Linked DNA regions of Nothobranchius furzeri. The protein of the gene in region 1 interacts with the protein of each later gene in a pairwise test. Links are inferred from orthologs where the notes say so. Each region holds a gene or a part of one and is shown on either strand. Other genes may lie near its edges.

Region 1 (4,314 bases):
ACTCTCCATTCTACCAGGATATTGTCGTCAAAAAAACTCTTCGGTGGCATGGTCCCAGCGGTGGATGAGATAGGCCCAGAGTTCCTTAAGGCTCTGGATGTTGTGGGGCTGTTGGTTGATGCAGCTATGCAGTATCGCGTGGACATCGGGGACAGTTCCATGGATTGGTTGACTGGGATGGTGGTTCCCCTATTTAAAAAGGGGGACCGCAGTGTGTGTTCCAACTACAGGGGGATCACACTCCTGAGCCTCCCTGGTAAGGTCTATTCAGGGGTTCTGGAGAGGAGAGTCAGCCAGATTCTTGAACCTCGGATTCAGAGGGAACAATGTGGTTTCTTACCCTATGGTCACCAGCATTAGGTAGTGATCAAAGGAACAAGATTGCAAATACAAGCGGCTGAAATGAGTTTTCTCCGTAGGGTGGCTGGGCTCTCCCTTAGAGATAGGGTGAGAAGCTCGGTCATCTGGGAGGGGCTCGGAGTAGACCCACTGTTCCTCTACATCGAGAGAAGCCAGTTGAGGTGGCTCGGGCATCTGGTCAGGATGCCTCCTGGATGCCCTCCCTTTTGAGGTTTTCCAGGCACGTCCAACTGGGAGGATACCCAAGGGAAGACCCAGGACACTCTGGAGGGACTATGTCTCTCGGCTGGCCAGGGAACACCTTGGGATTCCCCCGGAGGAGCTGGACCAAGTAGCTGGGGAGAGGGAAGTCTGGGCCTCTCTGCTTAGGCTACTGCCCTCGCGACCCAACTCCGGAAAAGCGGCTAAAAATGGATGGATGGACTTTCAGATAAAATTCATCTGCTGTTGATAGTTTTTTTAAGTTTGACACTTCAAATCCATCGTGCTGTCAGGCGGAAAAAAACACCAACACACAAGCACATTTTAAAATAAAATAACTTTATTTATATTAACGAATAGAAGCTATATTGTAAATAGGACTTGCTCACATATGTTTCTGAGATGTGACAACACGAACTAACTGGAGCTGGCACATGGAAACTGCTCATATCTCAGAAGTCATTGTCACTTTCCTCCAGCAGAGGGGATCTTGTGCCTCCTATGGAAGGATGGTTACCCCTCGACAGCAGGCCGTTCAAACTGTCATCAATGCTCTCCTCCTCTTCACCTTCATCGTCTTCCTCATCATCATCATCCACATCAATCTCACTATCTTCAGTCTGAAATGTACAGCAAACATAAAAAACACAATAAGTAATCACCCAAAAGCTCAAGTCTGTTTTCAAGAATCCAGTTTTAATGTTAGTTGTCTGAAGTATTTATCCACAAAAACACTTAAAGGAACAGAAGCCAGGAGGAGTTTTGTGTCCAACTAAACACAAGAACAGCTAATGCCTTACTGCTTCACATGGCACAGTCTAATAAGCAAATAGCACAATTTAACACAACACACACCTAATGTTTTTTATCTGCATAGAACAACACCACAGACAGTGGCGGCTCTTCCACATCCTCCCTGACGTAAATGGAGAAAAAAATTCTAAAATGTGTAAAAAAAATTAAAAAATAAAATAAAATCCCCCCTACAACACATATCCAAATATTTACAAAAAATGCAATTTGAATGATTTACTCATCATTTTCACCAGCAGTCTCTCATCAAACAGCCTCACTAATATCACTGCAGGGGGACTGGGCCCCTGAACTGCAGCAAAACAGCCAATCGTGGGTGGTTGCTAGAGAGAACTGGGGCATTTTTGACCAATACGCATCACATAATTTTATGTCTCCAGCCAATAGTGACCATGCTACAGGAAATGGCTAGCTAGAATGCTAGAAGGGGCTGGATCTTCTCCCTCTCACTCTCTCACTCACTCACTCACTCACTCACTCACTCACTCACTCACTCACTCACTCACTCACTCACTCACTCACTCACTCACTCACTGCTGGTTTATATAGGTAGCGCTAACATCAAACATGTACCTTCTGCTGTAAAGTGTGTTTATTTGTTCTTATTGTATGTGATTTAAATTGTCAAAACAGGATATCTAACTAAATTTCTATGTTCTGTTAGCGTCGCCTTCTGGTGGAACTGAGTATTGCGCTTTGAGGTGTGCATGCTTTGATTAATTAAGACACACTGATGCAGAAAACTCAAGCTGGAAAACAAATTAATGTCAAAATAAAATGTGAATAAGGCCAAAAATGACTGCAATTGCTCATGCTTTGTAGAAAGGTGTTCATGGTAGGCTTGTGTATTTGAGTATTATTATAGTCTAATTCATCTGTAAATTTTACTTTGGCTTTATCTGTAAATCAGTTTATTTAGAGAAGGGAAATAAAAGATTGTTTTGAAACTGTAGTCATTTTCCAACAGTTCAATTGTAATATTAAAATGGATTCAAGGGAAAATCTTTTCACACATAACGCCACCTAGATTTTTTTTTCACTAGCTACCACTGACCACACAGATGAGGATCTACTGTTCACAAACTGTGATGTGGAGAGTGGAACATAGGAAGGGAACAAAGGCAGGTCGATGGGATCCATGGCCTCCACAAACCTTTGCTTTCTGCTGTTTTAAGTGATGGCGGGTTGACCTTGTGGAGGCTGATAAAAACACCTTTTAAAAACCACGTGAATGACAACAAGAAAACAACAAACACAGATAAGTTACAAAAATTTCAGTGGAAGGAAAAGTTTGAAACCAAACAGAAATAAAAAATGAATCTGAAGCCATGATAGGATACAGGAGAGCAGACTGACAATTAAGATGGGCTGAGAGTCAGTCACAGCGAGAACCACTTAGAGGTGCTAGTGGCAAACAGAAAGACTTGAAGTACAAAAATGGAGGAATATTAGAAAGTCTAAGATATTACTGACCTCATCACTGTCACCACCTTGCATGTTACCGATAAAATGTCCTCCTCTCCCTGAGAAGGAGAAAAAACAACAAGCAGTTACGAATTTGTAAGAGAAAAGGATTCTGAACAAGAATTTAATCAAAGCTCTGGGCATAGAATTAAAGAACAAGTTTTTAATACATGTTCAGCGGTCTCTAGTGGGAATTAATGCCTTGTAAGTTGTTCTCTGGGGAACAAAAGCTCCGGTGCACCTGATTGAGGATAAAGAAATTAGCCGGAGTAGAAAGTAGGAGAAGGCTTTGGAGTCTTGTCCTGAAATTTGGACATCTCTCCACTGATTGGCTAACAGCAACATGACTCTACCACTGACTCTGTTTGCTGTGCAACGTTGATGTTTGATCTCCACAGATAACACAAGACTTAAGGAGTTCTGCTGTGTGGTGGAGTTGCTAATGCTAACGGTTCACTTCTACTTGCCAAGACAAGCTCTGCTCTTTCCTGAATGCTAAACAACAGCAGCCTTCCCCGCTGTGAGTCCAGATGGGCGAGTCCATGAACGTTAAGTGACAGTGTGACATAGATCTGTCAGGCTTTTCTGATTCCAACCTTTTTCCATCCATTTTCTATCAGAAGCAAATGCAGGAGATAGGTGTAGGAGACTATTTTCAGGTTGAGCCTGCATGTTATATTCAGAGTCATTTTCAAAAATGTTAAGTAAAAAAAAGGTTTCTCAGTGAGCCTGCTCTTAAGAATCTACATTTTCACTTGGAACATTTATATACATCTTTGCAGCCTGATCCATCTTGGGTGAGAAGGTCAGCTTCAGTCCCTCCACACTGTTTACACTCTTAGATTATGATGGCTTAAGTAAAAGCCAGATATGTCAGGCTTACCACAGTCATAGCCTGTTTGCGTACCTGCCATGAGTCCATTTCTGATGAGTCGTGGCTTAGAGGGTCGAGATTCTTCAAGGTCGCTGTCTGACCCTTCGTCCTCTAGAACATCCAAGTCAGAGTCCTCATCTTTCACTGCCAGAGACAAAAGACAAGAGTTTTGGGACTGGACAAATGGGTTTGAGTAAGCATTTAGTGTGTGTTTGATTTTCTCACAGGATCCTCTCATCAGATCTCTCTCCTTCTCCCTCAGTTTGTGCTGCACTATCCTCAGATTGTTTTCAGCTTCCTGCACAACACACAAGTAAAAAAACATTATTACCACAGGACTTTCAATTGACCATCTCTTATAATCTCATCGTGATTTATGAAAGAATCTGATTTTATGGAGACAGGTTGTGCAGACATAGTTGTAGTTTGTTACTGATATTTTCCATAGATACACTAGGGAGTGAATACAAGAAAGGTTTAGACAATTCCAGAACAACAATATGTTCCTAGTTGTGTTTGTTTATTTCACGCACCTCAAATCGTTCCTGTTCCAGTCTGTAAAATTCATCCAGCTGAGATTCCAAGAAGTTGAGGTTCCTAAA
Region 2 (5,014 bases), on another chromosome or scaffold:
CTCAGAGAACAACAATCTACCGGGCCCTAAGTGGTGTTTTGTCACTAGCCAGACTGCTCAAGTGTTCACCAATATTCTAGACGAGTCTTCATGCCCACCGGGAACTGAACATTGCATTATAACAGGTTACTGGTCCCAGGTAACCTCAGGTTAAAGGTCACTAACTCCAGGGACCATACTACACCTGCTTTTTAAAAGAGTGTTCAACAGGTTTATCCAGGCGATTACCTTCATGTGTGCAGGAGCAGCAAACCTGCAGCACGTGCAGCATGGTGGCCCTGGAGATGGGCCCTGCTCCAGTGCAACTCTGAGCCCAAAAGGGCCTTTCAGTGGAAAAAGTACGACCGAAAGAAAGTATTTTATCTGAAGGAACAGAAATTTAAATCCCTGTTGCAGTTTGGTAAATTTGGAAAACTGTAAATGAATGATATAGAGCCCACGTGGCCTGCAGCTGCAGCACGTGGTGGAGCGCACGTGGCTGCTAGCGGAGCTAACAGGCCACTGACCGAGAACCCGCTCTCTCAAAGTTAACTACACTAAACGCTGCTGGAGCTTATGAAGAAAACACGAGTCCACAGAGCAAACCCTTAGTTCTGTTATTGAATTAAACCCAACTACTAAAGCATGTTGGACACGTGGAGGGATTTGTTTGTTTTAACTGGCTCAGACGCTGCCAAACCTCCTCATAGACCAACTTAGGAATTTTTTTTACTGCGATTCCTTCTGCGTAAAACACGCTTGTACGTGCACGTGGACGTGTTGTTAATAAAATCCCTGACTCAGCAGAATTATGTTCAAACTTAGCAATAAATTAAACACAGACTGTCGCTTACAAAACGTGCTCGACACTCACCAGCTTCGTCCGCCATCTTCTAATGAAAGATTCTTCTTCTGCTTGATGTTTTATGGCGGCTGGCACGAAAGTACTTGGTGCACTACCGCCACCAACTGGTCACAGAGCAGAAATGAAACCAAATGAGGTAAATAAATAAATGAATTTGCTATTTAAATACAATTTTTACATAATTAAATATAAAATGGAAAAAAATAAATGTGAAAAATAATTCTGACTTTTCTTTCGGTGGTTCTAATGCTCTTCTTTAATTAACTAGCATCCTGGGGGGAAATAAACACTAAAAAAGGCCAGTGATATTTGGAGTCAGATAAGTCTGTCATTAAGTAGTGAGACACAGATCACTGGTGGGCCTCTAGTGCAATAGTGTGTTAAAAAACGGAAAAAACATGAGATGACTGCGGATTTTAGAAGAAACGGGAACATGCTAAATGCTTGTTCCATCCTGGGAGAGAAGGTGGAGGTGGCGGAGGAACATAAATACCTCAGTGTCCACCCGGACGGCAGACGGGACGGATCAGTGTTTACAGTTAACCCCAAAATCCCACTATCTCCGCGTAGTGGAATTTGAGTGTCCACAGCTGCAGATCCAATAAAAATACTTCCTTTTTTATTGTTTGATAAACGTGTGTCCACTCCAGGCCAGGTGGGGGCAGTAATGCTGCACTGCTACCACCCACAAACGTCGAAGAAGAAGAAGACTCAGCATAATTCAGCTGGATTTTATGCGAGAACTTCAGGATCAGATGGAAGGTGAGGATCTTCTTGATTAGTGAAGTAGTTTTTGTTCAGGTCTGAATAACCTGCAGCTTCCGGGTTAAAACATTCTGATGACGTGTGGATGTTTTACTGCAGGGTTGTAAATGAAACCCTGCAGAACCCAGCTGCCTCATCAACATTCACTAGGACAACTTATTTAGATCGTTCCTGTCCGCAGGTATTCTGTCCCATTACTCGTGGCCACACTGCTCCAGGTGTTCTTTCTCCAGATGTTTCTGCTCTTATCACAGATGTTCAACAGCATCTAGATCAGTTCAGAACAGTCCAGTGCTTGGTTCTGATCCATTCTCGGTGTTCCTAGCTGTGTTTTCTGATGATAGACTCTGGACAGTAGATTTGGCTCCAGAGGGTCTTGGTGGTCCTGGGATTGGACCCTGAACCTTTTCAGGAATCCTTGGTCCAGGTGCAGTGAGTCCAGAACAGAACTGATCTTCCTCCATCTTCTACAGTGTTTCTAGAGCCGATTTCCATCTCATCAATCAAAATGATGCTCTCCCTGAAGCTCGTCAGTGTGGTTTTTGGTGATCTCTAGTCTGTTCTTTTGGGTTTTTCTGTCACCAGGAATCCTCCTGGGTCTTCAACCCCTCATGGTGGGATCAGAAAGGCTTCAACAGTCCTGGATGCATTGTTTGTCTGATTCTTCCTTCTGATCAACCTGAGAGTGGATCTCATCTCGGATCCACGTTCTTAGTGGTTGCCCACATTCCCATCAACCTCCTACTTTATTAAAATTGTCAGCTGAGGTCCCAGGACCATGAAGCTGCCTGGAGACGGTCTATGAGCCGTGGCCTTTAATACCCCTGACCTTTGTGAGCTCATCTGACAGCTAATGTTTCTGTGGTCCAGGTTCAGTTTGGCCCAACCAGCTGCAGCATGACTCCTCAAACGGGTCAGATGATGGCTGATGTGAAGTGAAGTTAAACCAAAAGGACAAATGTCTCTTTAAGGGGGACAAACCTGTCTACCCAAGCTAGTTTAGCAGATCTTTGTATGACAAACAAATCATTTCTGTGTGTGTGTGTGTGTGCTCCGTTTCACTGCATGAAAGGAGAAATAACACAAATTCACGGTTTCTAGGTGATTCTTGTGACACCTCAGCGACCCCATCAAACAGGAGGTGCACCTGGATCACAGGAAGTGCAAGGAAGATCAGAGACAACGCCGCTGACTGGCACAACCTGATGCTCAGGTGGGACAGGCTGAACGACGAAGGATTCAATTTGGCAGCAAGTATCGTCAACATGAGGCAGTGAGTTTGTTATTTAGGTTATTTTTCTCTAAGTTAGCCCCCCCCCCCCCACACACACACACTAGATACCCTCTGGGATCCAGATGAGTAAGGGTGGAGATAACTCGTTTTCTTTAGAGCAATCATAAGACGGAGCTTTACTCGTTTGTCTACATTAAGCTCTAAGCGGTCGGTTTTTAAAGACTCATAAATCAGAGGGATCATCAGCTGTGGTGATGTTTATGTCTTCAGTTCTCAGGGAGATCTGCTGGTGTTGGACACGTGTCCACCACCGTCACAGTCCACATCGGCTGAGGCGCAGCAGGTGGCTGGAGCTGCGGAGCTGCAGGATGAATGCCTCAAACTGCAGGATGTCGTTGACAGAATGGTGATGCTTCATTTAACCTTCATCTGGCACGGTTCCATAAATCAGGAGTTTATATGTTGAGTCTCAGAATAAAATAGTTTTTCTAACCTGATAAACAGCTGCTGTGTGTGGAAAGCTGCGGTTGGTCTGGGACCGTTTAATTCAATCTCACGTCAAATAAATGACTTCTGCTCATTTAGTTTTCAGTACGTAACCCTGGTTCACTCCAGCCACGTGTTTCTTCTGCTCAGGTTGTTGTGGTGAAAAAGATGGAGCACCTGGTGGAGATACAGCGTGGCGTTCTGCAGCTGGAGGAGTTTCAGTTTGGTCCTGAAGGAAGACGTGTCCCTCTGTGTCTCAGCTGGAAGACCCGGGAGTTTGGTAGGTCCACCTGAAGCTAACACGCTGACGTCACCTGGACGGGGTTCTGCTTCCACGGGGAAAACTACCAACACCTGGCATCATAAACTGAGCAGGAGGAGTATATGCTGATTATGAGGTGGTCCAGTTGTCTCTATGGCAACAATCTGATGCTGCTACCATCACAAACGCATGCTTTCATGCTGTGACCTCAGACGTTCTGATGAGTGATCCACTAACTAGAACTCTGATGATAACAAAGACCTCCTGTTCAGTCATCACCCACGTCTCCACTCCTTGTGGAGGAGTTGGTGTTCCCGGTGGTCCTCTGGAATGAGAGCAGCAGGTTCCTTTGGCGGTGGAGATGCAGATGTCTGGACACACATTAGAAAATAACTTCAATTGTCTTCCAACCTTTGATGAATCCACTGAACCAATAAGTTTAATATGGTCTGTCTGCTGTTTCAGAGGAGATGTCTGGTGTCCTGCTGGCTGCCTTCAGTCAGGAGCTGAAGTTGAAGCAGACGATTCTGCAGGAAGTCGCCCACACCATGACCTCTGACCTCTCCAAGGTCTATCTGTCCTGTTGGCTCCACCAGCCTTTCATCCCAGCAGCAACCAGACTTGGACTAGAGGCTCTGCTGCTGGAGACGGGCCATCGCCCACTCTAGACTGGCCTGCTGTAGTGAACCCTCCTGTGGTCCGTGGGAGCGATGGTTAGGGTGTAGACCTGCATTAGAGAAGTTTTTATGATTGTCCTACAGAAGAGCAGCAGGAATCAGAAACTGGGTATGAAATCCTGCACATGTTCAGCAAAACATCTCATAACAAATGCTTCTGTCTTCACCAATGCCATGACTCAGGTCCGGTCATCCTGGAACTCCTCATACCTGATTAGTTATGGTTCCTGAATGCACAACGGTTAAGCAGCAGAAGCATGTCGTGGTCAGTGAACGCACCACCACCAAAGGCTGATAGTTCTGAAGTGATCAGATATCGTGCTTGTTCCGCACCATCAGCAGGTCAGAGCTGGGCAACAACTGGAGGTCTGAGCAGCTCTGAAACATTAGATGATCGCTAATAAACTGGTCTGAGACGAGCGCGGTTATCCTGAAGCTTTGCTCCTTTCTTCATTTAACCTTTTTAAGTTGTGGTTTACATTTGCAGTGTTCTCTACTGTAAGTCAATGCCTCACGAGCAGTGTTGGGCAAGTTACTTCAAAACTGTAATGCATTATTTATTACTTGTTACCTTCATTTTAAAGTAATTCATTATATTACAATATTACTGATTTAAAAATGTACGGCATTACACTACTTTTGCATTACTTTAAGTTACTTTCACCAAAACAACTTCAATATGAGTCTGGTAATGTGACGTTCAGCGAGCTCATGACATATATGTGGAAGGTGATGTGGTGTCTGAG

What was found.
Region 2: the proteins of cluap1 (region 1) and cinp interact in binary tests that used the Homo sapiens proteins (3 or more experiments, as listed by UniProt). The two-hybrid records come from large-scale screens. The link is inferred for Nothobranchius furzeri from reciprocal best matches to the Homo sapiens genes CLUAP1 and CINP.

What each region holds. Positions count from the first base shown.
Region 1 is NC_091748.1:64,768,441-64,772,754, forward strand, and holds the end of cluap1 (clusterin-associated protein 1 homolog), read right to left. Parts: coding exon 4,246-4,314; intron 4,011-4,245; coding exon 3,938-4,010; intron 3,857-3,937; coding exon 3,746-3,856; intron 2,898-3,745; coding exon 2,848-2,897; intron 2,588-2,847; coding exon 2,528-2,587; intron 1,182-2,527; coding exon 1,014-1,181; 3' UTR 880-1,013; downstream 1-879. UniProt on the Homo sapiens protein: Required for cilia biogenesis. Appears to function within the multiple intraflagellar transport complex B (IFT-B). Key regulator of hedgehog signaling.
Region 2 is NC_091758.1:16,265,487-16,270,500, forward strand, and holds cinp (cyclin-dependent kinase 2-interacting protein), read left to right. Parts: upstream 1-1,450; 5' UTR 1,451-1,578; coding exon 1,579-1,606; intron 1,607-2,710; coding exon 2,711-2,882; intron 2,883-3,113; coding exon 3,114-3,249; intron 3,250-3,479; coding exon 3,480-3,609; intron 3,610-4,056; coding exon 4,057-4,259; 3' UTR 4,260-4,752; downstream 4,753-5,014. Other genes in the region: H/ACA ribonucleoprotein complex subunit DKC1, read right to left, coding at 854-869. UniProt on the Homo sapiens protein: Component of the DNA replication complex, which interacts with two kinases, CDK2 and CDC7, thereby providing a functional and physical link between CDK2 and CDC7 during firing of the origins of replication.